2 linked regions of the Callithrix jacchus genome follow. The protein of the gene in region 1 interacts with the protein of each later gene in a pairwise test. Links are inferred from orthologs where the notes say so. Each region holds a gene or a part of one and is shown on either strand. Other genes may lie near its edges.

Region 1 (5,633 bases):
CTCGCCAGAGGCCAGCCCGTCAGCAGTCCTCCCCACATTCCTCTCTACGACACATCCTAGATCATGGAGGGGAAATGTTTTCCTCTGAGAGAACTGGCTCAAAGGGAGGGAAAAAGTAAGTAAGGGCTCCACAAGTAATAGGCCACCCGATTTTTTTAGAGCATTATAAAACATTTTTGTATGGGCGCACTGGCTCATGCCTATAATCCCAGCACTTTGGGGGGGCCCGAGGTGAGTGGATCACCTGAGATAAGGAATTCCAGACCAGCCTGGCCAACATGGTGAAACGTTGTCTCTACTAAAAAAAAAAATTAAGAAAATACAAAATTAGTCAGGCATGGTGGCAGGCACCTGTAATCCCAGCTCCTCTCAAGGGTGAGGCAGGAGAATCACTTGAACCCAGGAAGGAGGCAGAGGTTGCAGTGCGCCAAGATTGGGCCATTACTCTCCAGCCTGGGCAAAAAGAGTGAAACTCCATCTGAAAAACAAATTATTGTCTACTTTTGAAATTAAGGGAAAAACACATATGTTTTATCTTCCAGACCATACCAATTAAAAGTGGAAATTCCAGGAGTCAGGAGAAAGGGAACAAAAAAGAGAAGGTGGTAGAGGAGAGGGGAGACCAAGTGAAGAGGATGGAGAAGAAACTACGAAATAAGAGAAGAAGAGATCATGGCAAATACAGGAAAGAGGCACAAGACAATTGGGATGGAAAGGGGCAGATGAGAGAAGAGGGAAGAGAGGCTGGGTTCTGCATGGATTGCGCTATTTGGGTACAGTGTGCATTCCTTTGGGCTATTAACATTCTTTCAAGATAAGAGCTCCAAGGTGTTTCCTAACTTAATCTCCGAAGTGGCATACTATCATCACTTCAGCCAGGTTCTGTTGGTCAAGCAGACCAACCCTTACAAAATGGGCGGGAGCTACTCCAGGGTATTTGAATACCAGGAGGATGGGATCCCTGGGAATGACTTGGAGTCTAGGTAGCTTGATGGGCAGAGCCCCTAGCCTCGGGTGAGAGGGTGGGAACCATAACATGGTATGAACTGATCCGAGTGAATGTGTTTGAACACTCACCACATGCCAAGAGCTGTTCTCATCTCTTTGCATGCAGTATCTCATTTAACCCTCTTAACAATGTAAGGAGGCAGGCACTCTTTATCCAGAGGAGGAAACTGAGGTACAGAGATTAATAGCACAGTGCCAGAGCTATTATAAGAAAGGACTGGTCAGGAGTTGAAGAGAGACTGGATGTGAGGAAGGTAACTGACCGTCACAGTGTCCTGTGGGATTTTTACTAAATGATAAACCACCCTGTATAGTTCTTCAACTGATCCAGCCATGCAGGGGTAGGATTCATTTGGATCTGGCCATAGCAGCTTTCCAGGGGCCAATCCCACTTCAGCCTAAAGCACCCCATAGGTTATCATTTAATCCGCAGCGGGACTAAGCCTTAGACCAGAAATTCCTCCCTAATGGGCTCCCTGGAATGGTTCCCACATAGCTGGGGGTCCTTTACTGACAATGCTGCCTGCCCTGATGCTTGATGTAACTCAGCCATATCTTCTGCAGTTGGGAGAGATGGGGAATGACATTTTGTGTTTGAACCCAGCAGGTCAGGCTCCTGAAGAGGTCAGGTAGGCTGTAGAGAGGACAACTGGTGATTACTGTTTATTACATGACACTAAGTCCCCAACACACGAAATCTGGGGTTCCCCAAAACAGACGGTGTTCTTCCACATGCTCCTCAAGGATGGAAAATGCCCTCCAGTGGAAATGCCTTTCCACTCTGCTTCTGCTGGATTTTCCTCCAAGATTTCCTCTAACTGTGGACTGCCAGCTCCTCCCTGATGTCTTCAGGCACCACCCAACCTCTGTTCTTGCTGCAATCCACAAGGCTCCTATCAACATCTTGACTTTCCCTCCAGTTTTCTTCCATTTTCTCCCCCTATGTTGACTGCGGTCTCCTTTCCCGCCTTTCTCCTTCATCTTGCCCTACAAAGCCGCACCTGAACCACAAGTGCCAGAGAGTTTGATCATTTACCTAATGTCAACAAAAGAAAAAAAAAGTAAGCTCTAGAGCCGGCTTGGCCTGAAGCACTCAAGCACAGTTAACAAGTGGGGCCAGGGCACCCTCCTACCCTCCACCTCGCAAGGAACTCAGAACTCTGAAACGGGGAAAGGGCCAGGCCTGCTGATTTAATCTATGTCCCGCAGTCTCCAAGAGGTCACAGACTGCAGATCCCAGTCTCCTGAAGTAAGAGAGGAGAGGACTACCGCAGTTGGAGGACAGCGCGAGGGCCAAGCGGCCCAAGATGCGCAGGCCACGCAGCCTCACGGACAAGTGGCCCTGGAGAGCCTCCAGGCACCCGGGTGGGGCCGCGATCGCGCTCTCAGTCACCCTAGCCTGTGGGCGCGGCAGGGCGGCGCGGGCGGGCCGGCTGCCGGAGCTGTTTGGCGTCTTGGCCTGAGTGTTTGCCCAGCCCGCCTGCGTCGCTCGGGGCGGCTCGGCCTTTCCCTCCCTCCCTTTGCCGACGGCTTCTGGCAATCAAGTGGATGTGGCGGGCGATCGGGCCACCTAGCCCAGGCGCGCCCAGCACTGGTAGGTGCTGGGGGTGGTGAGAGGCTTTGGGGAGAGAGTGCATGGGGTGGGAGTTGGGGGAAGGGAATTTCCTCCGGGCTTGCAGGGGTACCTGGGAGGTGCACGGCCCAGAGCGGGCGGGCGGAAGACTCACCCCGCCTCCACCCCTCCACGGCGCGCGGGGCGGGCTCAGGTGCGGGGCTGGGCGCCTAGCGCGGCCGCGGAGTGTCCGGTGTCCGGTGTCCGGTGTCTGGAGTCTGGAGCCGCTGGCTGGGTGAGTGGCGGTCCCCGGGGCCCGGGGACTTGCAGGGGATAGCGGGGTGAGTTCCGAGGGGGAGGGTCTAGCCCGGGCTCAGGAGACTTTTGGGGAAGTTCTGGGATCTGGCGAGGACTCGCGGCTCGTGCTTCCACCCGCGTGGAGTGCAGGCCGGGAGACGATCCGGGCTGGCCTGGAGTTTCTAGACTCCTAGCAGGAGCACAGCCCCGTCCTTCGCCCGGAGATCTTCCAAGAGGGAAGTCCTGGGAAGCGGTGGCAGCCGGCTCAGCACCCCTGCAGCGCGTTCCCTGCGTGCCGGCACCCAGGGGCGCCCCCACGTGGGGTCGGGGCGCGCGCGGAGGCACGTGCAGCGCAGCCTCCCTGGGCCTCAGACCTAGACATGGTGCCCAGTGGGCTCAACCAAGGGCGCCCCTGCCCACTGCTGGACTCGGGGGTCACGCGGGCCCCGGGAGGAGCCACAGTTTGTAGATTTTCTGAGTTGTCTCTCGCTTCCCTGGACGCTTAGAGAAGCAGCAAGCATGGAACCTCCCCTTTTCAGACAGGTGCTCCTCATTGCTGAAAGAGGCTTTTGTTTGATTGCTGTTTTAATAGAAACAACGACTTGGGTACCATTATTGTTAAATAGTGAATAAATAAGTGTAAAGTATACAGGGGCATAGATTTGGCATGAGTGGAATTTTCTAGGTATACTAAATCTGTGTGTACAGTAAACTCAAATTTCTGAAGAATAGTATATACTTGCAAAACTTGCCAAATTTCTGTCATCTCTAGTAATTTGTTTCATGGTCCAAAAACAGCCCTTGTGCTGGTAGATGCATAAGATAAAGTTTGAATAAGAAAGTAAAGTTGGACCACAGAGCTGGCTGTTTTAAAGGAATTAGAATTCAGACTGTGTTGTTAATGTATAGTTACACTGTCGGTACTACAATACTTTGTTATTTTTTATTTTATTAGGTCGGTGCAAAAGTGCGTTTTTTCATTATTGTTTTGTTTTTGTTTGTTCGTTTTTGAGACGGAGACTTGCGCTTTTTAGCTCAGTCTGGAATGCAATGGTGTGATCTTGACTCACTGCAGCCTCCGCGTCCCAGGTCCAGGTTCAAGCAATTCTCCTGCCTCAGCCTCCCAAGTAGCTGGGATTACAGGCACGTGCCACCATGCCTGGCTAATTTTTGTATTTTTAGTAGAGATGGGGCCAGCTGGTCTTGAATTCCAGACTTTGTGATCCGCCTGCCTCAGTCTCCCAAAGTGTTGGGATTACAGGCGTGAGCCACTGTGCCCGGCTGTAAATTGCAGTTTTTATGGCCAAGAAAAACAGTAACTTTTTTTTTTGCCATAAAAACTGCAATATTTTTGCACAGACCTAATATTTTTGAGACAGGGTCTCGTTCTGTCACCCAGGCTGCAGTGCAGTGTATGATCTCAGCTCACTGCAGCCTCAAACTCTGCAGCTCAAGCAATCCTCCCACTTCTGTCTCCCAAGTAGCTGGGACTATAGGTGCAGGCCACCACACCTGGCTAATTTTTATATTTTGTGTAGAGACAGGGTTTTGCCATGTTACCCAAGCTGGTCTCAAACTCCTGAGCTCAAGCAATCCACCCACCTCCACCTCCCGAAGTGTTGGGATTACAGGTGGAGCCACTGTGCCCGGCTTACTCTTTTTATGATTTAGGCTGTATCTTAGGCCTTTTAAAATTTTTATTTGTTTAGGCATCAGAGTTATCCAAAAGACAGTTGTATTAACACTGTGAAGGTGTGAGAATCAGGCCAAATCTATGGTAGCGTGGAAAACAGCTGATTCTCTCACCCTTTAGCAATTGGTGTTCAGAATAAATAGCAGGTGTGGGCTTGTTGCTTATCTTTCTCTTAAGAATGGTTTTGTGTTAGCTAGCTTTTCCTTTATTGGATCTTGAAAAACTGGAGGTTTGCTGCACTTGATATTTTATGGGAAAGTCCTTTGAATTTGAATCAGTATCAGCAATGATTATTTGTCCTTGTCAGAGAGTGAAAGTGGGAAAACCCGGTTAGTTAATTTCCTCATTTCTATTTCTTCTACCCTGGCTCTACCAGGCTCTTTCACTTCACAGTAGATTATGTCACATAAACCACATATTATGAGGAGTCACAGACTGAACTGGCCCTCATTTCACAGATGAGGAAACTGAGTCCCAAGAAGGTGAGGTGGCAGCCTAGAGTCACACTGCTCATTAGAGGCAGAGCTGGGAATTGAGGCTGAATTCCCTCTGGGTGTCTTGGATGCACTGTGCTGAGCTTGAGTTGGGGTCTGAGAAAGGCTTGGGGTGGGGGTTAGGGGATGGGAATTTAGGGGTGAGAGGGAGAGGTAATTTACACCAGCACCATTCAGCAGCTGCAGAATAACCACATCGTCAACAGCCTGACCACAGATAGTTGTCGGCTAGATCCCCCAAGTATTCTTGGAGGCACAAGGAAGCCAGTGTCTTTCCTTCAAGATGAACTAGTTAACTTGAATGTTAGAAAACCACATTTGCTATAAAAGCCAACACAACATAAAATGGAAATAACATGAGCATTTCATCACAGAGGTGCCGTGAACCTCCTTGCACAGGTGAGAGGCTGTGCTGTTTGCGCTGTTCTTAGTGTTTGCTTGGAAGGGGAAATTGTGGAGATGAAGTGGATGACTAAGTGCAAAGGGAAATGGAGAGGACTAAGTGGCTGGCGAATAAATGGGTGAACAATGTCCACGTCTGGGCTACTGTGACAGTCAGTTCCTTGCTGTCCTTCCTGGCTGGGGTGTG
Region 2 (5,633 bases), about 9.4 Mb from region 1:
ATTCATTTAAAGAGCTATATACAAAAATAAGAGAAGCAAGAGCTACAATGAAATGAACAGAAGCAATGATATGGTGCCTATGTGAAACACTAAATGTGGATATACAGAATATAGTATACAGGAGACTCAGAATGCACAAAGTAAGCCTAAATAATCCCAATGTATTCAATATCTATGAAACAAGGAATACAATTCCTATCAGCACTTGCTATAAAAATAGCCATAAGCTGGTTGCTTCTATTTTTTAAACGATGTAACAATGAGAGATTTGTTGTCACATATTTTGTAACTTACCAACACTGAGCTATTAAGTTCCTATTAGCTATATTTTAACAAAGGATTTGAGCTAGAAGACTGAAATCTGTTCATACAGCAGTGAAAACTAAGCCTCACTAAAGGCATTCAATATCCAGCTCAGGGCTCCTTTCCTTAATACATATTTGTGACTACAAATAGTGTTCACTACATGCAGTACACTGAACTAGCAACAGATTAGTTAAAAGCAGTTTAGATTTTCAACTTCCCATAATACCGGCAACATCTTTGGAAGCAATCACATTAAAACAAATGTCTTTCACAGTTACAGGATGAAATTTTAAGATGGACAAGTACCAATGCCCTGGTTTTCTACTTTTTTTATAAACCATATGACTCCCACATGCTGAAAATGTTTTATGCTTTAACCTGCAGTAAAGGCTTTACATCATTTTAATGCCCAGTGCTTAAAATGCAACAGAATTACCCACAACAAATGCTAGGAATATATTTGGCTTACATGTAATGATTGTGATCCTGCTGGTAGCCAGAAAAAAAGTTTAACGAATGCTTTTCCCAGTAAATAACTTTGCATTTCCATAGACAAAACAAAAGAAATTTTGAGGTAAGGATAGGTGGAATAGAAAACACTCATGTTTTTCCAATTCCAAATATTAACAAATATGTTGGTTTTTTATTTCTAAAATATTAAATATTTTTTTTTAATTTCGTGACTATTATAATGTTTCAGAAAAATAAAACAAAACACTCCGTTAAGTAGTTACATAGGATTTTTCTCCAGCTTTTGCAAAGTAATGTTTCAAGTTAAGATACAAGCTTAAAACAAATGATTCTGAAAATCCTGGTCTATCACAAACTAAAGGCTTAGTTTTGAATCAACATATGGTATATTCTACATCTGAGATTTAGAAACCATTTTTTTTCCTAGTCAGGTGAATTGAAATATACATGTTTCCCACTCTTACAGTCCCCCTTATCTGTGTGAATGACCAACAGCAAAACATTCAAATCAATGGTTATAAAATACACAGTCTATTTATGTGGTTTTCAGTTACCATAAAATCTAAAGATCCCTTACTAATGATAGGTGGCAGATTCAAGAATTGGTAAGTTTGGGGAATATATTCAATTCTTAACAGTCTAAATAGAAAATGATGCCAATTTCTTTATTTTAAAAATCTATTACACTAAAAAACCTGTCACATAAAAAGGGTTACTGAAGAACTTATAAGGAAGTACAAAATACGTGATCTTATATTCTGCTAGTATGTTATTAAAAACTGTGAGAAATAAGAGATGCGAGAATACTTTTTTTCACTCTAATTGAAATTTGAAAAAAATTTAGAATTCAAATTTCCCAACTTTGACTTAGAAACATAATTAAACTAGATCAAGCAACTTAGTTGTACAATTTTAAAGTAAGTTTTAATGCAAAGCACTGCAATCCTGATGTGATTAATTACCTGCGGCATAAATGCAAAATAACAAATGCATTTAATGATGCATTTTACGGTAAAACCACAAAAAGCACAACCACATTGGCAAACGAAATAAAAAGGCACAGGCGGTATTATGTTCATCAGAAAGAGAAACGTTGTACTAAGCCAAGAAAGAAAGGAAGGACTAAATGAAGGAAGAAAGGAAGGAAGGAAGGAGGGAGGGAGGGAGGGAAGGAAGGAAGGAGGGAGGGAGGGAGGGAAGGAAGGAAGGAAAGGGAAGGAAAAAATGAAGGAAGGAAGAGGGAAGCCTTCTACACCTGCAGGATCCCAGAGAAATGAACTAGTCATTTCATTCTATCCTATATGATACATGGGTGTTCTTGTTTTTCTTTTAAGCTTCAGCGTAAATAAAAACAGTAATGGCTTTATACCATTCAACTTTACATAGTGGTATCTTTAATGTCAACTGCATTCTTCCCTTCACTCACCCAATGCTTCTTCACTGTTCCATTCCACCAGCTTGCAGGCAAATGCATGACAGAACAGGGTGGAGTAGAAGAAAAATACAAGCAGCGCCTTTCAGCACACCCCCCCGCCCCGCAAATAATTTCCAACAGTTCTTCCTACTACAAAAATGAGTCGCCCTATCTCAAGATACACAACAGACATTCTGTTCCTTTAGTAGACAAACACAGACGCGTACACAACCCAGCACTCTCGACTCCCACCCCAGGCCCCCCGAATCTTCAACAATTATTCGTCTATTTCACACGAAGACAAGACACGTCTACCTACTGTTTCGGGGTGAAGGTGGGTGGAGGACGCCTTTCAAAGTAGCCCCAATAGTGTAACCAAAACACGGTTCCGGAATAAAATATTAAGAAACACTTTTCCTTTCCCACCTATCTACCGACTTGAGGATGCAAAAAATCCATCTCCACATCACACCATCGCTACAGTTCTCGTGGCTGGAGTTTGGGGTGGAGATTCGTCCAGGGAGGGGGCGGAGGCGGGTGGCGGAGTGTGAGCGGACGACGGGACACGAGCGAGTTGCTGAGCCCGGCTGCCCCGCACCACGTCGCCAGCCCAAACGCCCAGTACCAGGACCTCACGCCCGCCCCTTAGCCCAGGCCCAGAGCGAGCGAGTCCGCGCTGTCTAACTTCTCATCTACAGACACAGCTCTAAGACGAGGAGGGCACACAAGTACACGTCACACAGTTTAAAACACACTTACCCCAAACAAACCAACACACCTGCAAATCACCTCACAGTTTCCCGAACTCCACACCGGAGACCCCACCTCCAGGATTCAAACCTTCCGCTCATAGTGGAGGAAACCAGGAGGAAAGACTTGGGGGCAGTCGACGCCTTTCCAGGACCGGCCCCCACGAACTGCCCCACCCCACAGCCCGCGTCCGGGTCATCCACTCGGAAGCCCCCAGCTTCCTCCCTCCTCTCAATCCGGCCGCTTACGAGACCCATCCCCAGCGTCCGCTCACTTCCTCCCCAAAACCCCTTTAAAAAAAAAATTGTTTTAAGTGAAGAGAAAGAAGTGAAGAAAGAGACTTGAGGTAGTCCGGCTTCCAAACCGCTCGACTCACCTCAGAATCCTCGCTGAGTTCTCTCCGCCCGGCAAAGCCCCCTCCCCAACGTCCCAGTACGGAAGGCTGAGGTAGGGAGGAGGGAAAGCAGAAGGGGGAGGGGTGTCTTCCGCGTGGGGCGCCCGTCGGGAGGGGACTGGGGAGGGGTTGAGGCCGGCGCAGGAAGAGGAGAAGGGGGAGGGGAGGCCCCTATCTCCCAGTCTCCCCCTGAAAACCTTCCTTGTCTCAATCACATCAGACTGACTGTCTTTGTCTGGCTGACAACCGCCATATTGATATCAACAGCCCCGCTCCCACCTGCTGCCGCCGTGCGTTCCTGGGAGTTGTAGTTCCTGCCTCCCCTGAGTAAAACCCGGGAGCCTGGAGCCTAGAGGCCATAGAGAACTACAACTCCCGGCAAGTTCCGCGCTCATCCGCCTGCTCTTTGGGAGGAGAGGAAGGGGGGTCGGAGCCATCAGGACTACACATCCCAGAACACCATGGGCCCCAGGCCTGTACGGGGGACATGATATCATGCTGGGGTGGAGAGGGAGGATGCATTGGCGGCGGGGATGAATTTGAGCTGACGGAAGGAGGCGTTCGAGAGGAAGGAGAGAAAAAGGAAAGGCGACCACAGTTCCCATGATGCCTGGGAGAATACATTTCCCATGATTCCCCTGGAAAAGACGTGAGGATGAAAGACTGCAAGTCCCGCGATGCTCTCGGCGGGCAGGTGACGGAGATTGCACCGGAAGACGCTTCCGGGGTTTGAGGAGTTCGGTGACTGCTATTGAACCACCAAAAGTCCATTATGAAACTGGTGAGTCTTCGCTCCTAGGTTAGAGGACAAAGGTGATGCTATATCCTTTGGACCTCTTTTTTTCTACGTTGGGCAGGGAGCCGTCCCACAGGATGGGTGGCAATTAGGAAGCTGAAAAGTGGAGTGGGCTAAGGAAAGCTGCTTTTTGTTGTTGAGAAGGGTTGAATTCCCCCTCCCGTCCCCGCTATCTCCGCCAGGCGGTCTTTTTGCACTCATTGGTGGTTGCTTTTGTTCAGACAAGACGTTGGCTCTGTCACAGTGCTTTCCCGATGAACTCTGGGCTTGGTTAACCAGGTTTGGACTTCCTAGCTCCCACGTGTGTTGGCGTCCGGCACGTCTGCCGGGGGGCTACCGACCTGCGGGAGTCCCCGAGACCGCCAACGTAGATGTCTCGTTCAACCTGAGGGAGAGAGTGCGCGGAAGTGAAAGAAAAAAGAAAAGCGGAGTCTGGAGGGCTGGCTTAGGCTATGTCCAAGCAGCAATTTTATTTTTGCAATATGTTCCATTATATACTTTGTTGAAGTTAATGTTGTTTACGCCAGATCAACATACTTAAGTTACAGTAAGCAAGTTACGCCCAGTAAGTAAGTTAAGCCCAGTAAGTCAGTTACGCCCAGTAAGTTACGGTAAGTAAGTTACGCCCAGTAAGTACTTAACAATTGTAAATACTTAAGTTAAATCACAAGGTAAGTTACAGTTACGCCCAGTAAGTTATGGTAAGTTACCAAGTGTAAATACTTAAGTTAATATTTTACAATGAAGGTAACAAGGGTCCAAAATGAACACAATCAAGCAATAAACCATAAGGAGCCGAAAGTAGACACAGTGCCTCCCAAGTCCATATCCATAAAGTAATGTCTGTTAATTATTTTGAATAGCATAGTCCCTCTCTCGGTTCCTGCTTTCCCTCAGCTCGACTCCCCCAACCGGGGATCTGTGTCCGAGCTCAAGCTCACCCATTTCCTAGGGGCCTCACACGGGAGCAATCCCCACAGATCCCTCACACGTGAATGTTATAATAGGCTGTTAACAACCCCTTTCCACTCGATTGGCACCTGAGTAGCCTGTCTTCCCTACGTTGCTGAGACTTTGGCTGGATATAAGCAGAGAGTAAAAAACATTCGGCAGAACGTAATCACTTATTAAATATCCTGTTATATGGACTCCTAACTGCCCTTGAAATTCAGAAGGGACGAGGTCAGAGTGTGGAGAAGTTGAGTCTTTAACCCTGCATGAGATTTAGATGGGCAGAGAAGTGTTACCGTATTTTATTCTAAGGGTGCATGAGCCAAGGCTGGATGAAGCGTGTCTGTATAGCTGAAGTCTTAGCATCACACAGCTCAAGCACTTGGCTCGTGGGAAAGCTTCTTAGACCTTTGATTTTAGCCATTTGACTGATTGTGCGCACAGGTCTAACTAATTTATTCCAACTCTATTCAATTAGTAATAGAACAGAGTAGAAAAGCAGATGTGAAATACTGTCTAAACCCTTTAAAACCCATACTCGTGCAGCCAAG

What was found. The genes of interacting proteins can lie anywhere in the genome.
Region 2: the proteins of SH2D4A (region 1) and HMBOX1 interact in binary tests that used the Homo sapiens proteins (3 or more experiments, as listed by UniProt). The two-hybrid records come from large-scale screens. The link is inferred for Callithrix jacchus from reciprocal best matches to the Homo sapiens genes SH2D4A and HMBOX1.

What each region holds. Positions count from the first base shown.
Region 1 is NC_133514.1:22,193,478-22,199,110, reverse strand, and holds the start of SH2D4A (SH2 domain-containing protein 4A), read left to right. Parts: upstream 1-2,459; 5' UTR 2,460-2,602; intron 2,603-2,761; exon of another isoform or gene 2,762-2,855; intron 2,856-5,633. UniProt on the Homo sapiens protein: Inhibits estrogen-induced cell proliferation by competing with PLCG for binding to ESR1, blocking the effect of estrogen on PLCG and repressing estrogen-induced proliferation. May play a role in T-cell development and function.
Region 2 is NC_133514.1:12,805,268-12,810,900, forward strand, and holds the start of HMBOX1 (homeobox-containing protein 1), read right to left. Parts: upstream 3,601-5,633; 5' UTR 3,318-3,600; exon of another isoform or gene 2,970-3,317; intron 2,546-2,969; exon of another isoform or gene 2,511-2,545; intron 1-2,510. Other genes in the region: INTS9 (integrator complex subunit 9), read left to right, coding at 4,108-4,116. UniProt on the Homo sapiens protein: Binds directly to 5'-TTAGGG-3' repeats in telomeric DNA. Associates with the telomerase complex at sites of active telomere processing and positively regulates telomere elongation.